Linked DNA regions of Saccharomyces cerevisiae S288C. The gene in region 2 interacts genetically with the main gene of each other region. Each region holds a gene or a part of one and is shown on either strand. Other genes may lie near its edges.

The links.
Region 1: mutations in DYN3 (region 2) and FIS1 together harm fitness more than expected from each alone (negative genetic interaction), as found in Saccharomyces cerevisiae (4 studies listed by BioGRID).
Region 3: mutations in DYN3 (region 2) and ASE1 together harm fitness more than expected from each alone (negative genetic interaction), as found in Saccharomyces cerevisiae (3 studies listed by BioGRID, with this or other methods).
Region 4: mutations in DYN3 (region 2) and BUB2 together harm fitness more than expected from each alone (negative genetic interaction), as found in Saccharomyces cerevisiae (3 studies listed by BioGRID).

The regions. Positions count from the first base shown.
Region 1 is NC_001141.2:239,391-244,944, reverse strand, and holds FIS1 (Fis1p), read left to right. Parts: upstream 1-3,169; coding exon 3,170-3,637; downstream 3,638-5,554. Other genes in the region: U1 snRNP complex subunit SNP1, read left to right, coding at 1-288; ARC15 (Arc15p), read left to right, coding at 483-947; YRB2 (Yrb2p), read left to right, coding at 1,201-2,184; EFM4 (Efm4p), read right to left, coding at 2,229-2,918; ribonucleotide-diphosphate reductase subunit RNR3, read left to right, coding at 4,237-5,554. UniProt on the Saccharomyces cerevisiae protein: Has a role in mitochondrial fission. Has a role in outer membrane fission but not matrix separation. Required for targeting MDV1 to the mitochondria.
Region 2 is NC_001145.3:863,912-869,860, forward strand, and holds DYN3 (dynein light intermediate chain), read right to left. Parts: upstream 1,440-5,949; coding exon 501-1,439; downstream 1-500. Other genes in the region: sphingosine N-acyltransferase subunit LIP1, read left to right, coding at 1-360; ADE4 (amidophosphoribosyltransferase), read right to left, coding at 1,648-3,180; ATP-binding cassette Fe/S cluster precursor transporter ATM1, read right to left, coding at 3,644-5,716. UniProt on the Saccharomyces cerevisiae protein: Component of the cytoplasmic dynein which acts as a motor for the intracellular retrograde motility of vesicles and organelles along microtubules. May play an important role in the proper orientation of the mitotic spindle into the budding daughter cell yeast.
Region 3 is NC_001147.6:431,487-439,503, reverse strand, and holds ASE1 (Ase1p), read left to right. Parts: upstream 1-3,158; coding exon 3,159-5,816; downstream 5,817-8,017. Other genes in the region: LPL1 (putative hydrolase), read left to right, coding at 1-598; co-chaperone SGT1, read right to left, coding at 6,131-7,318; NOB1 (rRNA-binding endoribonuclease), read left to right, coding at 7,878-8,017. UniProt on the Saccharomyces cerevisiae protein: Required for anaphase spindle elongation.
Region 4 is NC_001145.3:385,601-390,923, forward strand, and holds BUB2 (Bub2p), read right to left. Parts: upstream 1,422-5,323; coding exon 501-1,421; downstream 1-500. Other genes in the region: STV1 (H(+)-transporting V0 sector ATPase subunit a), read left to right, coding at 1-375; ADP/ATP carrier protein AAC1, read right to left, coding at 1,715-2,644; ferroxidase FET3, read left to right, coding at 3,222-5,132. UniProt on the Saccharomyces cerevisiae protein: Part of a checkpoint which monitors spindle integrity and prevents premature exit from mitosis. This cell-cycle arrest depends upon inhibition of the GTP-binding protein TEM1 by the BFA1/BUB2 complex.

The DNA.
Region 1 (5,554 bases), on a different chromosome or scaffold from region 2:
AGAGGCTATTCCAACAGAGACAGCAGGCTTCCAGGAAGGTTTGCAAGCGCAAGTACATCAAATCCCGCCGAAAGAAATTATGCTCCCAGGCTGCCACGCAGGGAAACTTCTTCCTCCGCATATAGCGCTGATAGATACGGCAGTTCCACATTGGACGCGAGGTACCGTGGAAACAGGCCATTGCTCTCCGCCGCCACTCCTACTGCTGCTGTTACTTCTGTATATAAATCTAGAAACTCACGGACTCGAGAGTCTCAACCAGCTCCCAAAGAAGCGCCCGACTATTGAATATAAGTAATACTTAAACTCTGCTACTTGTTGTCTATGATTACCCGCACATCAGTTAATTTGGATACTTTTTTCCCTTTCTCAGACTTTGCCCCTATAACAAAATAAGAGAAAAACAGCCCGCATTTAACACAAGATACTATAGCAAAGGAGACCAGAGAAGACTCAACACAACACACGCGAACGATCAAGCAATGGAAGCCGATTGGAGGAGAATTGACATCGATGCATTTGATCCAGAGAGTGGCAGACTAACCGCTGCCGATCTGGTACCACCATACGAAACTACTGTCACATTACAAGAATTACAACCTCGAATGAATCAATTGCGCTCGCTTGCCACAAGTGGTGACTCTTTGGGAGCCGTTCAATTACTCACAACCGATCCTCCATACAGTGCAGATGCTCCAACAAAGGAGCAATATTTTAAGAGCGTCCTTGAAGCATTGACACAAGTCAGGCAAGCCGATATTGGTAATGTAATCAAAAATTTGAGTGATTCTCAGAGGGACGTGCTGGTAAAGTATCTCTACAAAGGAATGTCCGTACCTCAGGGCCAGAAACAAGGGGGTGTCTTGCTTGCGTGGCTGGAAAGAATTACTCAAGTCAGTGGTGTCACACCTATCGTTCATTATATATCGGATAGAAGAACTGTATGATACTCTGCCCAGTAAAACTTAGTATAAAGAAATATACATATATATACGTAATTTTAAGGGTCGCGTTTGTTATATGCTTTTACTTCAGGCATTTCGCGGTGATGTAGGTATTGAGTTTTTTTTTAAAAAAATTGACATTGTTTGGCGAGGTTGAAGATATAAATGCCTGGATTTTAAAAAGCTCAGTTGCTACTCAAACCAAAATGTCAACAAATCAATTTGCACAAAACAAGTACGCATAAACTTTGAGAGCATGAGTGAGACCAATGGTGGCAATGCAGCCAGGGAAAATTCTGAGGTGAAACAAACTGCAGTTGAAAATCCTATCGATAAACTAGATGGAACTCCTAAGAGACCGAGGGAAAAAGATCAGGATGAACAAGCGGAAGAAACGAGTGACAAATCAGAAGCACCCAATAAAAATGATGAGGAGAAAAAGGAGGAAGGTAAAAAAGACCAAGAACCATCGCATAAGAAGATCAAGGTTGACGACGGAAAGACCGTAGAATCTGGTATTGTGGAAGATGACAAAAAGGAGGATAAATTCGTGTTTGGTGCCGCATCTAAATTTGGAACTGGGTTTGGTGTTGCCAAAAAGGACACGAAAGATGGAGATGCAACTACCAGTACTGAAAGTTTACCAGCCTCTGACAGCAAAACAAAGAAGCCATTTGCATTTGGTTCAGGTTTATCATTTGGCAGCGGCTTCAACATACTGAAAAACAAAACAGAAAATAACTCTGAAAGTGAAAAGAAAGCTACTGATGTTGACAAAGATAAAGTCCATAGTGGATCTGAACAACTAGCGAATGCCTCAGAAGATACAAAAGACAAACCAAAACCCCTCAAATTGCAGAAACAGGAAGTCAAGTCTGGTGAAGAGTCTGAGGAGTGCATATATCAAGTCAATGCGAAGCTGTACCAACTTTCCAACATAAAAGAAGGCTGGAAGGAAAGAGGTGTTGGTATCATCAAAATCAATAAAAGTAAGGACGACGTCGAGAAGACGCGTATTGTTATGAGGTCTCGTGGTATCTTAAAAGTCATTTTAAACATCCAACTGGTCAAGGGGTTCACTGTGCAAAAAGGATTTACAGGTTCTTTGCAAAGCGAAAAATTCATAAGATTACTAGCAGTAGATGATAACGGTGATCCTGCACAGTACGCCATAAAGACTGGTAAGAAGGAAACCACGGATGAATTGTATAACATTATAGTTAAATCCGTTCCTAAATAAGTAAAGAGAAATAACGTTAAAAATAAATCAAAGATAAAAACAAATCAGTTTTGTTTAACAAATGCTACACTACATATGGTCGCACCCTGGACCCCGCCAAATTGGAAAACAGGGTATTTTATTGTTTTCCACATTTTCAAATTATCAGTCTCTATGATCTTTACTAGTTCATCTTGTGTGAAATTACAAGAAGTGATCAAGAAAATACCGTCTTTTTTCAAAATCCTTTCCACTACTCCGGCGTATACATCGACTACATCAAGTTTACCGTTGATCTTCATGCCACTCAATGAAATGGCATCTAGGGTCCCTTTATCCAACACAATGTCATACTTTCCCGGCTTCCAGTCACCACTAAAGATGTCTGCTTGCTGGAAACTGATGAAATTGTCAACACCGGTGGCCTCGGCTATATTACTAGCGAGTTTGACGCTTTCCTCAGAATAGTCTATCCCGACCAGTTTCCCTTGGAATTCCGTTTGATGCAGTTCAAATAACATGTGTCCATTACCTGTACCGAGGTCTACAACAGAAGCATTCTCAGAAATTCTGTACGCACCAATGTTATCTACCAGAAAATCAATCATCTTTTGTTCAGCATCGCTATCGCTAAACCAACAGTCCCCGGTATCCTGCGGATTCCGCCTGAAATTCTCCAGCTCCAGGGCATACAGTTCATCCCAGTATTTTTTCGTACCAAGTTTCGAAGTGCTCAAATCTGCCGTGCCCTGCATCTGTACTACCTTTTCGGGTTGAGTTCGTTCCATAATACCGTTCTTAAGAGCTGAGCTCATCGATTTTTTTTCACTTCTTTTCATGAACCAATCTTTTTGCGCATTTATGCCGGAACACCGCAAGCGGGCTAGGCTGGACCCCTTTCAAAGCAAAGCTGCCATTGCCACTATTCTGCACAGAAGTTATCATATACCTTGCGTAAAAACGGCACATAGAAGCACAGATCAGAGCACAGCCATACAACATAAGTATGACCAAAGTAGATTTTTGGCCAACTCTTAAGGACGCATACGAACCACTCTATCCGCAGCAGCTGGAGATTCTGCGCCAGCAAGTCGTCTCCGAGGGGGGGCCCACCGCTACCATACAGTCAAGGTTTAACTACGCATGGGGGCTGATCAAATCCACTGACGTGAATGACGAAAGGCTTGGTGTGAAAATCCTCACAGACATTTACAAAGAGGCCGAGTCCCGTAGACGAGAATGCCTATATTATCTGACCATAGGTTGCTACAAACTCGGTGAATACTCTATGGCGAAGAGATATGTAGACACTTTATTTGAGCATGAGCGTAATAACAAGCAGGTGGGCGCTTTGAAGAGTATGGTAGAGGATAAGATCCAGAAGGAAACACTCAAGGGTGTTGTCGTCGCTGGAGGCGTACTAGCCGGCGCTGTGGCCGTGGCTAGTTTCTTCTTAAGAAACAAGAGAAGGTAACAAGCACATAAAAAATCAGCACATACGTACATACATAAGAATGAATCGCACGCACGCGTAAACATTTATCATTTAATCTTCAGTTGTTAGATAAAAAAAAAAAGAAAAGAAAAGAAAGTGAAGGCTTGTTTCAGTTTGAACTAGGTAGCAGAGCAAGCCCTCGTTCTTGGCTGCTAATTTTCCTAAAGTAGTAAAAAAAGCCAAGTTATCTGCCTACGGTTGTCACAGCAACATTGCGTGCCGTTGTTCTTTTGTTTTTTTTTTTTTTTTTTTTTCGTGGTTGTCGCAGCAACGACACCTAGGCGCTGCTCAAAGGGGCAAAAACCCGGTTGCCATGGCGAGGACCAAACGACAAGATGGGAAAAAAACAATAGTCTATTGTTAAATCGTAATACTGTATTGTGAGATGCTGACGCGTTTCGTTTTTCGTGTCAGCGTTCTTTATATTGTTTCGTGTTCTGCTGCAAAACGTATATAAACGCACTGCTATTTTGCCTTCTTTTGCCTTCTTCCTTGCCTTTCTCTCATCTCATATCCAAGTTGAAATAAATATGACAAGCAAGAATAGCAGCAGCAATAAATCAAATACTCCCACACAAATGTACGTTATTAAAAGAGACGGCCGCAAAGAGCCCGTTCAATTCGATAAAATTACCTCCCGTATCACCCGTTTGTCATACGGTTTAGACCCAAACCGTATTGATGCTGTTAAGGTAACCCAACGTATTATTTCTGGTGTGTACTCCGGTGTTACTACCGTTGAGCTGGACAATCTTGCAGCTGAAACATGTGCATACATGACCACTGTGCACCCTGATTATGCCACTCTAGCCGCTAGAATCGCCATCTCTAACTTACATAAGCAAACCACAAAGCAATTCTCCAAAGTTATTGAGGATTTACACGACTGGATTAACCCAGCTACTGGAAAGCATGCTCCTATGATTTCGGACGAAATTTACAACATTGTCATGGAAAACAAAGATACTTTGAACTCGGCCATCGTGTACGATAGGGATTTCCAGTATACGTATTTCGGATTCAAGACACTGGAGCGTTCGTACTTGCTAAGACTGAACGGTGAAGTGGCAGAACGTCCTCAGCATTTGGTAATGCGTGTGGCGCTAGGTATCCATGGTAGCGATATCGAATCTGTGCTGAAGACTTATAATTTGATGTCGTTAAGATACTTCACTCACGCTTCCCCAACTTTATTCAACGCTGGTACGCCACATCCTCAAATGTCTTCATGTTTCTTAATTGCCATGAAGGATGACTCTATCGAAGGTATTTATGATACTTTGAAAGAATGTGCTATGATTTCCAAAACTGCAGGTGGTGTTGGTCTTCATATCAACAACATCCGTTCCACAGGTTCTTATATCGCTGGTACCAACGGTACTTCAAACGGGTTGATTCCTATGATTCGTGTTTTCAATAATACTGCCCGTTATGTGGACCAGGGTGGTAACAAGAGACCTGGTGCTTTCGCCCTTTTCTTGGAGCCATGGCATGCAGATATCTTCGACTTTGTCGATATCAGAAAAACACATGGTAAGGAAGAAATTCGTGCAAGAGATTTGTTCCCTGCTCTATGGATCCCTGATCTTTTCATGAAACGTGTTCAAGAGGATGGGCCTTGGACTTTGTTTTCGCCCAGTGCTGCCCCAGGTTTAGATGATGTGTGGGGTGATGAATTTGAAGAACTATATACTCGTTACGAAAGAGAAGGTCGTGGTAAAACAATTAAAGCCCAAAAGTTGTGGTATGCCATTTTGCAAGCACAGACAGAAACAGGTACACCTTTCATGGTTTATAAGGACGCATGTAACAGGAAGACAAACCAACAGAACTTAGGTACTATCAAATCATCTAATTTATGTTGTGAAATCGTCGAATATTCCTCCCCGGATGAAA
Region 2 (5,949 bases):
TTGCTGATCGCTGCGGTTGAATACTTCAAGTATGGTACAAGAATTAACTATGAATGGTTCCATTGTACCCCAATCAAAGAACCCCAGTCTGGCTCAGTAATCAAGCTTTGGGCACGTGGTGGGCCAAGTTGTGACAAAAGAGGCGAATATAAAACTATAGTAAAGAGAATCACTAGAGATTATGAACCAAATGATGAACATCTCTCGTTCTGTATCATCGAGAATGATAATGTTCCACCCGTCCACTACCCAATTCACGAAGATAAAGGTGAACCTGGCTACGTAGCTTATGTCGGGTACGACACAGACTCTGAGCTGGTTCAAGAACTATGTGCTGATTCCACAATTTATCACATGTGAATTCTTTCTTTTACATACATAAACATAGAAGAAATCCAACCCTGATATAGGGATTTATAAATGCGTGTGCATATCTATATTTATACATATAAAGAGAAAAAAATTGCTCATGATAAAAGAAGTATCGCCTGCCCACTTTCCTAAATCCTCGAATTTTCCCTATATTTTGCGAACATTTTGCCTAATTCCTCTTGAATATTAACTTTGAAAACTTCTAAAGGATATAGTTTATCAAGGTCGATACCAGAGGTTGTTTTCCTATCTTCTCTGATTTTATCAATTGTTGGTATAAAGTCCATATATCGGGCCAAAAAGTGTTGCTCTTTCACCTCAGTAGGCTCAAATCTTTCGTCTACTGTTTTTATCAATCCAATAGAATCGCACCCCTTCGGTATTAATATCTCACTGCGTTTGACCATTTCAATATGATCTTTCATATCTCTATCTTCACAAAAATGCTTTAGAAGCTCTTGGTATTTAAGCCTTTGTGCTTCCTCTCGTTTCTCTTCGGTATGGTCTTCGCATATATAGAATAGTGAGCTATCATTAAAATAGCAAAACGATCTTAACGTTTGCAAAATGAAGTCAATATGTACTGACTGCCATACTGTAGTGTGTCTTTGTAAGTTTAATATTTCGCCACTGTTTAAGCACCATACAGAAAATTCATTATCGTCATTCAGTTGCTTAATTTTATTGAATGCGTAGGATAGTTCATTCAGCCACAACTTTTGGTCGTTCAGTGTCCAATCTAATAATATGAGCCAGCGAACCTTCGAACTATGTTCTTGTAAAAACGGCTTTAGAAGATCTAGTGCATCGTCAGTGTTTCTTATTAGCGTGTAAACATCGACAGAATAATTTTCCTTTAAGTCGTTGGTCCATCCTATGGTGGCGTAATTAATCAAAGTGGTATCCAGTATTGAATTGCTTCCCTCTGGAAAACAGATATTTATAAATTGATGCAGTGTTTTACTTGATGGGGAATATATGATTGCTGTTATCGTAGCAGTCTCTGTGCTGTTGATTGTGGATTCATTCTGAGACAATAATTTGTCCCAGGCATTACAATTATCCATTAATACATACAATTCTTTTATCTTCTTTTCTTTTTGTACAAGTTGCGGATTACTTCTCTTTGTTTACCTTTTTGCTTTTATTTTTTTTTTTAATACGTGCATATATATATATATATTTAGTTTAGGTCAGAATACAAAGATAATTATGTATAAATGGGCGCATTTGGAAACTATTTTACATACAACTGAACAAGTTCGGAACAATCTATCAATAATCTGCACAATTATATAATCCGATATCGACTTCAGCCTTCATATCTGATGAATTATTTGCGATCGATTCACGTTTTTCTTCCAATTCTTGAATATAACCGTCTTCAACACCAGTGACATAATTTCCGGTAAATACACCATCTTCGAATTTGGTTATTTTATCAGTTTTACAACAATCAATCAAATCTTCCAATGATTGGTAAATGACTCTTTCACAACCGATTACTTCCGCCACTTCTTCATCGGTTCTGTTATAAGCAATCAAGTTCTTTGTGTCTGTTAAGTCAATACCATAAATATGGTTGTAACGAATGGCTGGGGCAGCTGAAGCGAAGTAAACCTTTGTTGCACCGGATTCCTTGGCCATGTTAACAATCTCTTTTGAAGTAGTACCTCTGACAATAGAATCATCCACTATCAGAACCTTCTTACCCTTAAATTCAGACTCCATAGGGTTAAGCTTCCTCCTTACTGAAGAAACCCTTTCCCTCTGGTTTGGCATGATAAATGTCCTGCCCACGTATCTGTTTTTAACAAAGCCCTCTCTATAAGGCTTCCCTAACACATTAGCACATTCTAGTGCACATGTTCTTGCAGTATCTGGGACGGGAATAACAACATCAATATCTTCTGGCTTCAGTTGCTTTAGAATATTTTCCGCTAATTTAGAACCCATAGCCAATCTTGTGTGATAAACTGATATTCCATCCAAGACACTGTCCGGTCTGGCGAAATATACGTATTCAAATAAATCAGGTCTATAAGAGTTAATAGGAACCACTTGTTTGAACTCAGGTTCACCTTTGCTACAGTTCTTAGGGATGATAACTGCCTCGCCAGGCTTTAAGTCACGATATTTAGTAAAGTTGTGAGCTTTGAAAACAACACTTTCTGAAGCTAACATATAGTCCTTAGTGCCGTCCGGATTTTCTCTTTCACCGAACAATAATGGCCTAATACCATTTGGATCTCTGAAACCAAATAATGCAAAACCGGCAAGTAAACCAACGCAAGCATAACCGCCACGGCATAAACGGTAAACACCTTCTAACGCGTGGAAAACATCTTCATTGTTAACTCTGTACTTGTTATGTTTTTCCAGTTCAGCAGCAAAAATATTCAATAGTAACTCCGAATCACTGTCCGTGTTAATATGTCTATGAACGTCTTCATCCATATATCTCTTCAATGATGCAGTATTCACCAAGTTACCGTTATGTGCCAAGTTAATACCGTAAGGACTATTGACGTAAAATGGTTGCGCTTCTGAATTAGCCGAAGACCCGGCTGTAGGATATCTCAAGTGGGCAATACCCATGGAACCAGCAAGACCGGAAACACGTTGTTGGGTAAATACGTCACGAGCCATACCATTACCTTTACATTGGTAGATTCTACCACGAGAACCACAGGTAGCTATACCAGCTGCATCTTGTCCACGATGTTGTAGAAAAATGCATCCATCACATAACTCCGGAGCTACTGGAGTGGTTTGGTTTGCTAATACAATACCTAAAATACCACACATTTTTTCTATTCTGCTGTTTGCTGTACCTCTTTCTTTGCTAAACTTATTAGAACGAAATCTACTACTTTCAAGACGATGTCTTCGCAACTATGACTTAAAAGTGAATAAAATTGTACGGTGGCTGTTGAAATTTTTCTAAAATGAAAAAAAAAAAAACGAAGGACTTTACCTTGACTTAATAATAAGAATCTGAAAAGTACAAACCTATTATTGAAATTGTAAGTAAGCAAACTTTAAATACACCGAAGCTCTGACATTTGCCGCATGAGCAGTCATTCGGATTCATGATCCCAGATTATATTTTATTATTCATGTTCGTTCTAACTCTGTCCTGTTATTTTCGGTCAGGAAGAGTCAATACATCGGGTCATTGAAAAACCGCGGAGAAAGATAATAACTTTTCTTTTTTCCTTAAATCTTGAAAAACTTATACATGTATAAATCAATATTTACTTACGAGCGTTCATAGTTCTTGCTGGTCTTTTAGTTCATTCTCTAAATGATCCAGATCTTCTTGTATGGTCCAAAGTTCGCGGTACAATGACCCTGGCATAGCCAACAGTTCAAGATGCTTACCTTCCTCTCTTACTCTTCCGTTGTCAAGGACTATGATCTTGTCTGCATCTGCAATTGTCCTCAGTCTATGTGCGATGTATACACTCGTTCTCGAACCCGAAGTAAAGTTATCTCTAATGGTTCGTAAGAGAGCTTGTTCTGTGTGTGTGTCCAAGGCGCTTGTGGCCTCGTCAAAAAACATGATCCTTGCATTCTTCAATAGTACCCTTGCAATTGCCAGCCTTTGCTTTTCACCACCGCTGATCATCAACCCTCGCTCCCCGACGATGGTGTCAAAACCTTGTGGTAATTTCTTGATTAAGGGTGCTAGCTGGGCTTTTTCAACTACAGTTATCACTTCCTCGTCGGTTGCGTCAATACGACCGAACTTTACATTTTCCCAGATAGTGTCATTGAAAAGTGGTGTGTCCTGTGGTACCACACCAATCACCTTCCTCAAGGCATCGATGTCATATTCTTTAATATCTCTACCGTTTATGAGGATCCTTCCGCTTTCAGGATCATAAAATCTAAAGACTAATTTTAAAATGGTGGACTTCCCACTGCCCGAAGACCCAACTATTGCGGTTTTCCAGCCTGCTGGGATGGTAAAGCTGGCATTCTTTAAAATTTTCCTATCGGGATGATATCCAAACGTGACGTTCTCAAAAGTAATATCGTAGGGAACATTTTCTGGAAGCATTAAGGGACGTTCGGCATTTTTAATCTTGACTTCATTTTTTCTTAACTTAAATAGCGTTTCCATATCAATCAGAGACTGCTTTAAATCTCTGTAAACACTACCAAGAAAATTTAGCGGTACTGATAGTTGAAAAACCAACTGATTAATTAGAACCAAGTCACCAACTGTCAAGTTGCCACCAATAACGCCGGTGCAACCCATATACATCATTGCAGTTAGGGCAGTAGTAAAAATTAGATTTTGGCCGGAGTTCAAAAATGCTAGAGATTGCGATACTTTAATTTGAGAGTCACGATAGTTCATCAAGGAGCCATTATACTTATCTGCAAGATATTTTTCATTGTTGAAGTATTTTACCGCCTCAAAATTAATTAAAGAATCTAAAGCCACACTGGCAGCTTTGTTATCGGCCTTGTTAGCATCCCTTCTAAAATGTGTCCTCCATGCGGTCGTCTTTATAGTGAAAATGGAGTATAAAAGCATTGTACTGAATGTTATTGCGGCAAATGACGCACCGAATTGATACGTCAAAATCCCACAAACGACAGATATTTCAAAACTTATAGGGATAATGTGGAATACCATGGCCGTTAACACTTGAGATATACCCTTTGTACCTCTATCCATGGCCCTCGTCAGACCACCCGTTTGTCTACTCAAGTGCCATCCCAAATCTAACTTCATAAGGTGCTGGAAAGTTTGTAGCGACACAGTTCTAATGGCATTCTGTGCCACTTTGGCAAATACGGCGTTCCTCAGTTCGCCGAATAAAACAGAGCCGAACCTTGCAACACCATAGCAAAGAATGGTTAATCCAATCGCTGCCGGAAGGGCGACTGTAGGATCATCCCATGCTATATTCATTGAATCAATAGTTTGCTTGAAAAAAAAAGGTACTTGAACATTTAAAATTTTGGCGGATATCAACAGTCCAAGGGCAATCAGTACCCTTATCCTCACTTTATTGTTGCCTTTGGGCCAAATATAGCGAAATAGATCTTTCAAGATTTTCAGTTCCGAGAGGGTTGGGGCCTTGCTGGTCTTTTTTACCTGAGTCTTCACTTTTGGAGCCGACGAGAATTGCTCGACGGATTTTTTGTGCGTAATATCCTTTTGTGCTTGATTCCATAAATTCACAGCTGAATTGAATAACAGAGGCCGCTGGGTTGATAACTTAGACACAGTAAATATAACGGGCGAATGGTTCCGGATTAGACCAGATCTAAATTTTGATCTTACAATTCGCCCAATTACAGGACATCTTGGAAGAAGCAGCATTTGCAGGTTGGAGTGGAATCTATCAACAACGATATACTTACGTTGCTCTGTCGCAATTTTCGAAATTGTACTCTTTGCTGTGCTGATTGCTTTGTTTGCGATTATTAATGTAGAAAGTCATCGGAAAGCCCTCGCGCTCTTTCCCAGTGAAATTTCACGTGATGTAATCTGATGAAGGGCACGTATAGGTCAGTGACCTTTGCTGTGCAAATTGGGTAAGGTAATTTCTTTTA
Region 3 (8,017 bases), on a different chromosome or scaffold from region 2:
CCATGCTCCTACTAAACCGACCAAGACTTATAAAAAGTGGGGACGCACTATTCTTATTATACTAGTTGCAACATTCTTAATTCTCCCAATAGCCCTGGTTATGAATGGCCTGGGAACCGCTTATAGTTATATTGTTACTTGCAAGTACCGCAAAATGCTCTCTAATGGCATTCTTCACAATGAGGTCAGAGGAAAATTAGGATTGACGGAGCAACTGAAAGGCTATGTTACAGATGCATACGGGTCCATCATAAATTCGGCTTTAGATATGGATGCGAACTATGAAGCAAGTAATAGTAATCTTGTAAACGAAGAAGAGCTTCCTTGGAAGGAATTTATCCAAAAATACACAACTATAAATGATGGTGTTTGGAAATCTAAATTTAAAAAACTGCCTTTTGATGAAAACCGAAAGGTTATTTTGAGAAATCTAAACAAATTGAAATGGATTAGAGTTCCAATATACATAAAGGCTGTAAATGCGCATGGCGTGATTGTGGCACGTAGAGGAATGGACGAGAATACAGCTGCTACTGGGATTGCTTGTATCGAATTTACGGCCCAATTACTAGCATACTTGATGCACAAGAGTAATTGAGCACTTGATTTACACGAAATAGTATATATTTTTGAATGAACACTCTCATGTGATTAAAATGTATTACTACCACTAATGCTTGAAGGGAATTGATAGACTCGTTTTATAGTGGGGGAAAAAGAAAAGAAGAGGATGGTACCCGAATAGTTACTGACAAAAATAAAGAACTCCTCATAGGGGGCTCGAACCCCTGACATTTCGGTATCCTTGCTTAAGCAAATGCGCTTAAAAGCCGAACGCTCTACCAACTGAGCTAACAAGGATGAGTTCTTCGGAGCGTCCTAAATAAAGATTTCTATAGATAGTGGGTATTTAACTTAGGTTATTTAAAGTAATTAACTACCGAAAAGGATACATTGCTAAACTATTTGATAAATGTTGAGGTATAATTTTTATAAAGGAAATAATTTTGGATAGAGTATGTTGGAATAGGAATCAAGTATTATTTATCGACTAGCATTCATATTATTAATATAGTATCATATGCGGCGTAAAAAGATAACCCTAAAGATGAGAAACAGTCATCAGATTTAATGGGAGCTGGATTGCAAGGATATATAATGTAATAATATAATGACTATTATCATAAAGAACAGAAGAAGAATATCAATATTATTAGAAAGAGATATGGATACTCTTTTGGTGGATTTCAATTCTCGAGGGGAACTTTCATATATTTTGTGTATCTAATATTATAGCCTTTAGCAACGGTAGAAGCCCAATAATAATCATTCATTACCTCATGGTAGAGCCTATGATTTGGTTACTTCTAGGGAAGCGTACACAAATCAAATTCGTCACACGTTTCCAATTTGCAAACCTCATATGATAAGGTTTCCAGCAACGCCAACTTTCAACGGATAATACACCTGTTTTATCAGCTGCTCCAGAGAATCATCATCATCGTATCTGCTCAATTACTGTCGTCACAGAATGGACCGTACTTATAGCGATATAATCACTCCGAATCAAGCCAAGCCATCTAGTTGGTCATTTTTAGGACGCCCGACTATAATGTCGTCGATGTATTTTCAATCAGATACTCAACCAACAATTTTATAGTATATATCACCATTGAGAAGCCCTTCACGTAGTTGAAACAGTATACTAACCCAACAATCTCGTATGTTTTTTGATACACCAATCACGTCTCGCAATTTTTCACCGCCACACATTCTGTGGGGGAAGAATACTTCTACTTGGACTAAATTCTACATCAAGTTTTGAAAAATTCCAACCCACAGGCAACATTCATTCTAATGAACAGGGTGAATTCTGCGACCACTATCGTACGAAGAGCATTCATATTTGTACAAAACATTTCAAACGTTTGTTCCGTTTCATTTGTTGCCAATTTGGTTCAAGAAAACTTTAGAAATCAATTGCAGCAATTTTCAAACTGTTCTCTATAAAGCATGAAGAATATTGAACCTTGAATATAATGGAAGAATATCTGCAGATTTATTTGAAGCAGTGAACACTCTGACCTACAGATTAAAGGAAGACGATATAAAGGTAATGACAGACTAACTTGGCAGTTTATCTAAAAAACTTTTCGGAGAATTCAGTTGCTTACGCCAGTAATACTGTGGTAGAAGAAATATTACTTGGTATTCAAGCCATCTACGAGGAAGGAAAATTTATAAAAAACACGAGTACAATAACACGAAGGGAATAAATAAAAATGTCATATGTTCATAACAAGTGCACAGATCGCCCTGCTGATTATGTTACGGATAACAAGATAGAATATCCTTTGGAGCTCGACAATTCTACATAGTATTATATTTTTCTCTTCTTCTTTTCTTTGTTCATTTCCATTGTCATATTTACGTATTTGCTGATGATTGTTGGCATTCCATAATATAGATAACATTATGATAATAATTTCGTCTAACAATCTGTATCATCTTATCAAACCATACATAGCAATATACTACTGATTTAAAACCAGCTAATACAAGATATTTGATCTCTATTTCAAACAAAGGATTTTAAATGTTCTTCAATATGGTCTTCTTTTTTCATTTATTTTTTTTGATTAATATTTTGTTGAAAAGTAAAAGTTTTGAGACATGCAACTTGTATTTCTCAGAAGTGAATAAAAATAAATATATGAGATTTAAGATAGAAAAAACAAATCATCTTTAAAAACTTTCTTTCCTAGTATAGCCACTTTTTATAGTTACAATTGTAAAGAACTGCCTATAAACAATAAGTCTGTCTGCCATATCTACGTTATTATTTAATTTCACTAAATAACCGCCCAGAAAATCGTACAGTGTGATTTTCTTTCGTCATCTAATATTTCCCAATGAGGTAAAAGGTAAATAAGCTTGAGAATCTTTAAGAGGAAACAAATACAAAAATATTATTAAAGTCGAATACCTGGTTTTTTCACAGAACAATAGCAAAGATACGAACAAACGGCTATTACCGAGAATAATTATTTTAAGGACTAATTAGAGCATTTTAATAGGCTATTTTTAATCATCAGATATAGCATTCTGGCATTAGAATTCAAAGGTTTCATTTTGGATTCACTACTTTTGATGTTGAAATGGAGACAGCAACTTCTTCCCCTTTGCCCATTAAATCGAGGAGAAACAGCGAAAATTCTGGGTCTACTACAGTTATACCGCATATGAACCCTTCTTTAGCAACACCGTTGACTGTGTCGACCATGGTAAATCAATCAAATTCTAAAGAGTTTATGAAGTTGACCCCAGTTCGTATTAGAGATTTTGGTTCTCCTTTGAAAAACGTGTCCACTAATTACCATTTTTTAGACTCAGAAAATGGTAAAGGTAACACAATGGATAATATGTATAGAGAAAATTTCATTCTTATTTCAAAGGATCTAGAGAAATTACTGGAGAATCTCAATGTCATATATCAAAATATTGGGTATTCTAATACGGAAATTATCACCAAGGAGAAAATCATATTCACCACTATATCTAATTCCATAAAACAATTTTTTGAGCAAGCTGACGAAGAATTGAAAAGACTGTCCGCAGAGAACGGAATTGAACAGGATATTCTAAATAACATTCTAGAGAGAATAAATGACCCAAGTGGCATAAAGACTATTCCTGACTTATACATTAGAAATGCTATTCTACTGCAAGAAAGTAAAACTGTGCCACAGTCACCGAAAAAGCCACTTTCCTTACTAAGCAAAAAAGCAGCATTAGATACAGCAAAAAAATTTGTCCTAGGAAGTTTTTTACCCAGGCTCCGCGACTATTTAAAATCCTTAATCACTCTAAAACACCTCATACAATCTGTAAAAGAAAACCTTCCTGGATTGACAGAAGCAGATAACGAGGCTATCGCCGAGTTTCCAGAATTAAGCACATTAACCGCATATTTGTTACAAATAGAAAATGGTAAAGGCGATATTGGTTTGTCCATGAAATTTATTATAGATAATAGAAAAGATATTTTAAAGGGATCGGCATTTAAAACTATTAACGAAGAATCTGTGAAACACATGAATGAAGTCATAAAAATTTACGAGGAAGAATACGAGAGGAGGTTTAAAAGCGTACTCACAAAAAAGGTTAGTATTTCATCAATATGTGAACAACTTGGAACTCCCCTAGCAACGTTAATCGGTGAAGATTTTGAACAAGATCTAAGATCATATGGAGAAGAGGAAAACTCCACATCAGAAATACCAAATTTCCACCCGGTAGACAGAGAAAGAATGTCTAAAATTGATATTACATTGGAAAAACTGCAAGCTATCCATAAGGAAAGAGCAGACAAAAAGAGGCTCCTGATGGAACAATGCCAAAAACTTTGGACAAGGCTAAAAATTTCTCAAGAATACATAAAGACTTTTATGCGTAACAATTCAAGTTTATCAACCGAGTCCTTAGGTAGAATCTCTAAAGAAGTTATGCGACTTGAAGCAATGAAAAAAAAACTAATAAAAAAACTTATATCAGATTCCTGGGACAAAATTCAGGAATTGTGGCGTACGTTACAGTATTCAGAAGAAAGTCGGTCTAAATTCATCATTGTATTTGAAGAACTAAGGAACAGTGCAACAACTTTACAGGAAGATGAGCTTCTTCTAGAAACTTGCGAAAATGAGCTAAAAAGACTAGAAGAAAAACTGACCCTTTATAAGCCAATTTTAAAATTAATATCAGATTTTGAATCTTTACAAGAAGATCAAGAATTTTTGGAAAGAAGTTCAAAAGACTCTTCACGGCTTTTGTCTAGAAATTCTCATAAGATATTACTAACTGAAGAAAAAATGAGGAAAAGGATAACAAGACACTTTCCTCGAGTCATCAATGATTTAAGAATTAAATTAGAAGAGGCCGATGGTCTATTTGATCAACCTTTTTTGTTCAAAGGTAAGCCACTTTCAGAAGCAATTGACATTCAGCAACAGGAAATCGAAGCAAAATATCCAAGATGTAGAGTTAGAATGCAGAGATCTAAAAAGGGAAAATGTGGTGCGAACAAAGAGAATAAAGTCATAAAAAACACTTTCAAGGCCACAGAAAGTTCCATCAGGGTACCGATTGGTTTGAATTTAAATGATGCCAACATTACTTATAAAACGCCTTCAAAGAAAACAATACAAGGCTTAACAAAGAATGATCTATCCCAAGAGAACTCGCTTGCTCGTCATATGCAAGGAACAACGAAGTTATCTAGTCCGAACAGAAGAGCAACAAGATTACTAGCACCCACAGTAATATCTAGGAATTCCAAAGGGAATATAGAGAGACCTACCTTAAACAGAAACAGATCATCCGATCTTTCATCATCGCCTAGGATAAATCATACGCATGGCGAACATGCAGTAAAACCACGCCAATTGTTTCCTATCCCGCTGAACAAAGTCGACACTAAGGGTAGTCATATCCCTCAATTAACTAAAGAAAAGGCTTTAGAACTTCTTAAAAGGTCGACTGGCACCACGGGTAAGGAGAATGTACGAAGCCCGGAACGCAAAAGCTCATTAGAAGATTACGCACAAAAATTGAGCAGTCCTTATAAAGAACCTGAGCACAGCATATATAAACTTTCCATGTCGCCAGAAGGTAAATTTCAATTAAACATTCAACAAAAAGATATTGAAAGCGGATTTGATGATACCAGTATGATGGAAGATGAAAATGATAAGGATTTTATTACATGGAAAAATGAGCAAGTTTCGAAATTGAATGGATTCTCCTTTACAGATATTTGAATTTCTTAAAAGCGCATTCATTTAACCCTCTGATCTCTTATTTATTTTTTTTGTGGTTTTTTTTTTCACATCACTTTCTAGCCTTCGCTACATTGTCTCTTTCTTTCCTTCTTTTATTCTATCATTCTCCCTTTCCTTTTTCCATTGCACCGTGACTCTGGATTAATATGGACATAATAAAATTTGTAATATTCAATATAATCATGTAAGCATTCCAAGTAAATACGCAGGTTGGCTAGTCTAAATCGAAAATGTAACATTACTACCATACTATATATCTACATATTGTAATTGTGTAGGTATATACTAATCATTTACCAATGTTTAGGTTCCATGCCTTCTGGTGGTGAAGTTTTAACCGTTCCCTTAGATACGTCTTCCCAGTCTGTACTCAATGCAGTACCATTACTTTCTATAAAGGATTTCATCATAGCCCTTTTGGTATCTGGATCCGCTCCAGCGTAAAGCTTTTGAAAGAAACTATCAGCCGATCCCGCTTCTTCATCAGCTTCTTCATCAATGTCAAGTTTAGACCAATCTATTTTTTTTTTAGAGGACGATGGATAAGACAATCTCTCTTTTGATGCCGTTTCTGCTGATAATAAGCGGGTTGCAGAATCAGAATTTTTACCCTCATCTGATAACCTTGAGGATTCCGTTAAAATATCTTCTTCCAACTTCTTCCATTGCGTGCTATCAATTTTGCTCAAGGTAATTTCCAGCTTTTTTGGGAAAATTTTTAATGACACTGCTTTTGGATCCACCTCATGCGAAAGCTTAGCGTTGTATTGAAATTCAGATCCAGATTTCGGTACTTGGTACGATATCGATAAAGTTCTTCTATCGTTTGGAGAAATATATATATTGACTTGTTCCTTAGACTCAGGAAGATTAACAGTAAATAATGATATAGTGACAGAGGTGCTGGATTGATACCAATCGATTTTAAATTTAGGGGATTCTTGAGGAGCGGTTTCAATTTTGAGAGGTGAAATGGGACTATGAGAAGAATTATTATCTCCTCTGTTTTCAATACTTTCCACTGGTTTAATTGTATGCTTATTAGTTGAATCCTTCTGCTTTTTATTTTTTTTATTCAATTTTGTCTCCAGACGATCTTCCCATAAAGGCAAAGTGTCATCAACGTAACCAAGATTCTTGGCTTTTTTAAAATAAGATTGGGCCAGTTCATAATCTTTGATATTGAAGAAATGAACAAAATAACGAAAGTTAACAAGACCAATCTTCGATCTATCGCCCCTACCCTCAGCTGTCATTAGAGCCTTGTCAAGAAGTTCCTTTGCGTTTTCCATAGTTGCATCGCTGTGCCAATCAGAAAACCCAAAGTATAGCTTTTCAAGACATGCTGCCTTAAAAATGAGAGCCGTTAAATTTGTGGGTGAGCCTTTGAGAATTTCATCATAAAGATGGAGGGCCTTCAGTGGTTCCTTCTCATCATACAAAGCTTTGTAGGCAGTTTTTAAATCTTTTTCAACAGGCATTTCTTTTTCGTTTCCTTAAAACAACTACCTCTTTAACCTTAAAAGACTTCTGCCATTACTTTGTCATAGTGCTTTCGTTCAATTATTAGCGTTCAAAGATATATCGCATATGATCAACTCATCTTGAGACCTTACACCCTAAAGTGCTTATATTGGCTTCGTTTATAGTGATCAAAGTCATCAATATAGTGCTCGTCAGTGTAAGACTGAGAAGATCATTCTTAAAAGAATTAGCAGATGATGCATAAGCACTATGGCGGTATTATCTACTATCATTTCTCTTGTATCTGTGCTGAGCCTGGTTCTATTGAAGAAGAATTCAAAATTTGAATGTCTCAATAGAAAAACCCGGACATTCCATAATGCAAGATCAAAATTTTTCGATGAGCTTTGTTTTGCATTGGCAAATTTTTACCTGCTAAGAAGAAGTCTACATGGAGAAACAGCACCATTATCTCAAGTATGTTCTTAACATAGAGGTCGTTCAGTCAGCGCTAGATAAATCTCATCGGCGATCATAGTTCAGTATTTTTCTAAAGTTTCTTTAAAGGAGCATAATATGACCGAAAACCAAACCGCACATGTAAGGGCGTTGATATTGGATGCCACCCCATTAATTACGCAGTCCTACACACATTACCAGAATTATGCACAGTCTTTTTATACTACTCCCACAGTTTTTCAAGAAATTAAGGATGC
Region 4 (5,323 bases), 480 kb from region 2:
AATTTCGGCGATGTCATGATTCATCAGGTAATCCATACTATTGAATTCTGTTTAAATTGTATCTCTCATACAGCATCATATCTACGTCTTTGGGCACTATCGTTGGCGCATGCGCAATTATCTAGTGTTTTATGGGATATGACAATTTCAAACGCTTTCAGTTCTAAAAACTCAGGGTCGCCTTTGGCTGTCATGAAGGTGGTTTTCTTATTTGCTATGTGGTTTGTTTTAACCGTTTGTATCCTAGTTTTCATGGAAGGTACTTCCGCAATGTTGCATGCGCTACGTTTGCATTGGGTGGAGGCAATGTCCAAATTTTTTGAAGGTGAAGGATATGCGTACGAGCCATTTTCATTTCGTGCAATAATAGAATAATAACCTTAAATTACTGTAAATTTTCTCATCTACCCACTGCTTTTTTCGTTTTATTTTTTTTTACACATACAGACATATAAACGTTGTAGAATTAAACGATAAAATATAATATTTCTTCACATAGTTTACGGTATATATATGTCTGGGTCGGTCAAGTGGTCTACCAATAGGTCATAAATTTGAGCAGGGATCTTAGCGATGAACCCGACGCCCAGCCGAATGATCTCGTCAGCATCAAAATCCGGAAACTGTCGTAGTAAATTAACAGGGGAATCCGATTTGAAAACCTTGGATCTCATTTTAACTAGGAATGCCACCACAAAGAGAATATTCATATGGAATCCATATGCAAACATGAAATCCCACAGTTTAATGACCTGATCAAGCGGTTTATTGCAGCTGGATAACGTGAGTATGGAAGGCATACCATAAATCTCTGCTGTAAGTAAATTGTCCGATAGAAATTTACTCAGCTTTGGATCAATGATTCTGAGAGAAATATCTAGTAGTTTGGCGCCGTTCTGGGCGCCGTTTAGGTTCTTAGTTAGATACGTCGGTATCATTTCATAACAAAGCTTAGTGAAAAGTTGATACGCCATAGGTTCAGAAGGACATGAGTAAAGCAGAGGAGCTAATAACACGTTCATGCCCTGCACATATGTGCTCACAGGAATGCGACCAAAACGAGTCTTTTGTCTTCTTTGTTGTGTTTGCCAAGCAAAGCACGACAGACACCGGATGAGGGCATCCTCTGAGACTCTATTTCTAAAGTTTGGATCCGTCTGAAAAGTTCTGGATGTGTCGTTCTTGATTTTTTGGTAAATGGTTGTGGAAGGTGGGCCCAGTTTCAAGAGCGCAAGGTACCGTTGTGTAGACGCCTCCATAGAAGTTTGAGAGAGCACCGTCCACACGTAACATCGCGTGCGCTGCTGCTGTTTATCTTCAGATATGGGAAGCCCTTCACTGAGTATGAGGTAGCGAAGTTGAGAGAGTGAGGAATGCAGTAGCAGGGGAGGATTTGATATCAGATCTTCAATTGAGGTCATGCAAAAGTTAACAAGTTTAAAAGTCTGTTGTTTCTTTTACCTTTACGTCGTTACTATTATTACTATTATTATCATTTTTTTTTTTTTTTTTTTCAATGTTTAGCTTGGCGTACGTAAACGGTTCCCTTCCGCACGGCGTTTACTGAATTGTCAGGACATAAATTCAAAGAAGAAAGAAGACCTCCAGTGTCATTATAGCATAAGACAGGTATGTAGCAAGAATGAATATGTAAATAAATAGCAAGAATATGTAGAATTTTTAGATTTTATTCGTTTGTTGTTTTCTTTTTTTTTCACTTGAATTTTTTGCCAAACATTATGAGTTGCAACTGATCGTACAATGAGATGACACCAGCTGCAGCGACTCCTCTAAATATGTTGGCACCACAGCCCTTGAACAAGGAATACGCGCCCTCTTTCTGAACAATCTTTCTCAAACAGTCCAGAGCACCGTCGTACTTGATGGTCTGGCCCGAAGTCATCATCATCCTTCTTCTTACCGTATCCAAGGGATACGACGCAGTGGAAGCACCCATGGTAATGACCCAACCTAATAGGAAAGAGGCAACAAAGGACCCCTCTAGAGCCCCCGTCAACAGCACAGGCTTGAAAGAATCGTACAAGCCAAAGTACAGACCTCTGTAGACAATGATACCCAGAACTGAGGGCACAAACCCACGGTACAGACCCAACAACCCGTCCGTTTTCAGTGTCTTCTTATACACGTCTAGCAATCCATTAAACTGTCTTTGCGAGGTTGACTTAGAACCCCTAGCATCCGCTGCAAGCCGCGTCCTTGCGTAGTCCAAGGAATATACAAATAGAAGCGACAAACCACCAGCCGCTCCACCAGAGAAAAGATTTCCAGCAAACCACTTGGCATACCCATCGCGCTCTCTGTCGTAACTCAACAACGACTTAATTTTGTCTTTGAAGGCAAAATTCAGCGCCTGCGTGGGGAAATACCGGAGAACATTGGCGGTGTTACCCCTCCAGAACGACACAATACCTTCATGAGTCGCAGTCCTCTTGAAGCAATCTAAAATTCCCTTGTACCGTGTATCCAACGAGCCCTGTTTAAGCATCTCTTCTTGATTCTGCATCAACAGTTTCACCCGTTCAATGGGAGCGGCACCCGTCTTCGCAATGGCAGCAGAAACGCCGCCCATAAGGAAGTCCACACCGAAGTGTGACTGCTGAGTCTGTGTTTCTGTGTGAGACATTACTGCTGTAAAAAGGAAAAATAGAAAAGAATAACAGATACGAGAATCTGTGCTGCCTTCTTTGCGATAATGCCTTGGCTTGCCTATTTCACGGTTACAGGAATAATAACATGTTCATACCGTTTCAGGACCAATAAATGGTCTTCTGCGAGAGAAAAAGGACACTCTCCGTCCGACAGAAATAAGCTTTACTTTCCGGGTGCGAATCAGCCCGTTGCGCCTGGGGTGGTCCCTACAGTACGCTGAGTCGCCGATAAAGACCCTCCGCCTAGAGCTAGGCGAGGCTGACTTAGGCAGGCCCAACAGGCAAGGCCCATCTTCAAAAGTGCACCCATTTGCAGGTGCTCTTATTCTCGCCAATTGCGACAGAAAATGAAGGATGCACTCAAACAGTCGATCCTTCGAGGGAGTATGCCAAGGCCTCGTGCATGTAGTGCGATTATATATATATATATATATATATATATATGTATGTAAGCAGGCCATGCCCTATAGCTCTTGTTCTATAAGCGATGGATAGGCATAGGAAACGAAGAGGACCCCAGTGTAAGGAAGAGTAGCAAAAAATTAGAACTAGATGACTAACGCTTTGCTCTCTATAGCCGTTTTGCTTTTCTCGATGCTCTCGCTAGCACAAGCGGAGACGCACACGTTTAATTGGACCACTGGCTGGGACTACAGGAACGTTGATGGGCTAAAGAGCCGTCCCGTGATCACCTGTAATGGCCAGTTCCCATGGCCAGATATAACGGTCAACAAAGGTGACCGTGTGCAGATTTACTTGACCAACGGAATGAACAACACCAATACTTCTATGCATTTCCACGGTCTCTTCCAAAACGGAACCGCCTCTATGGACGGTGTGCCCTTCTTGACGCAATGTCCAATTGCGCCAGGCAGTACTATGCTTTACAATTTCACGGTGGACTACAATGTAGGCACCTACTGGTACCATTCACACACGGACGGTCAATATGAAGACGGGATGAAAGGTCTTTTCATCATCAAGGATGATAGCTTCCCCTACGATTACGATGAGGAACTTTCTTTATCGCTTAGTGAGTGGTACCACGACTTGGTCACGGACTTGACGAAGTCGTTCATGAGTGTTTATAATCCGACAGGTGCTGAGCCCATCCCACAGAACTTGATTGTTAACAACACGATGAATCTGACATGGGAAGTCCAGCCCGATACGACGTATCTTTTGAGAATTGTCAACGTGGGTGGGTTCGTTTCGCAGTACTTTTGGATCGAGGACCACGAAATGACCGTGGTCGAAATCGACGGTATCACTACCGAGAAGAACGTAACGGATATGCTTTACATCACTGTCGCTCAGAGATATACAGTCCTGGTTCACACTAAAAACGACACGGACAAAAATTTCGCCATCATGCAGAAATTTGATGACACCATGTTGGATGTCATTCCAAGTGATTTACAGCTGAATGCAACCTCTTATATGGTCTACAACAAAACCGCTGCGCTGCCCACACAAAATTACGTGGATTCAATTGATAACTTCTTGGACGATTTCTACTTGCAACCGTACGAGAAAGAAGCCATCTATGGCGAGCCAGATCATGTGATTACCGTTGACGTTGTTATGGATAACTTGAAAAACGGTGTGAATTACGCCTTCTTCAATAATATCACCTATACTGCACCAAAAGTTCCTACTTTGATGACCGTTTTGTCTTCAGGTGATCAAGCAAACAACTCCGAAATCTACGGTTCAAACACGCACACTTTCATCCTAGAGAAGGATGAAATCGTGGAGATTGTGCTAAATAACCAGGACACAGGTACCCATCCTTTCCATTTACATGGTCACGCTTTCCAAACCATCCAGAGAGATCGTACATATGATGATGCCCTAGGTGAAGTTCCTCACAGTTTCGATCCGGACAACCACCCTGCCTTCCCAGAATACCCAATGAGAAGAGATACTTTATACGTTAGACCACAATCCAATTTCGTCATCAGGTTTAAAGCCGATAACCCAGGTGTTTGGTTCTTCCATTGTCATATCGAATGGCATTTGTTGCAAGGTTTGGGTCTTGTTCTCGTGGAGGATCCTTTTGGTATCCAAGATGCTCATTCTCAACAACTCAGTGAAAACCACTTAGAAGTTTGCCAGAGTTGCTCTGTGGCCACTGAAGGTAACGCCGCTGCCAATACACTGGATTTAACTGATTTAACTGGTGAAAATGTTCAGCATGCCTTCATTCCTACCGGTTTTACCAAAAAAGGTATTATTGCCATGACATTCTCCTGCTTTGCCGGTATTCTTGGTATTATCACAATTGCAATTTATGGTATGATGGATATGGAAGATGCGACCGAAAAGGTTATTCGAGACTTGCACGTGGACCCTGAAGTCTTGCTAAATGAGGTTGATGAAAATGAAGAGCGTCAGGTAAACGAAGATCGTCATTCCACTGAAAAGCATCAATTTTTAACTAAAGCCAAACGGTTCTTCTAATAAAGGAAGATCATGTATTTTGCGGTTAACCTGTTTTTTTTTTTTCGGTCAAGGGTTCCAAATGCATTTGCATGTAAAGTGAATGCCCTTGTCTTACTTAATATTACATAGACATATACTTAATAATCTACCACGTTTCAAATTCAATAATGCATGCTTCTTGGCGGTTTTTGACATGAGATCCTCATCTG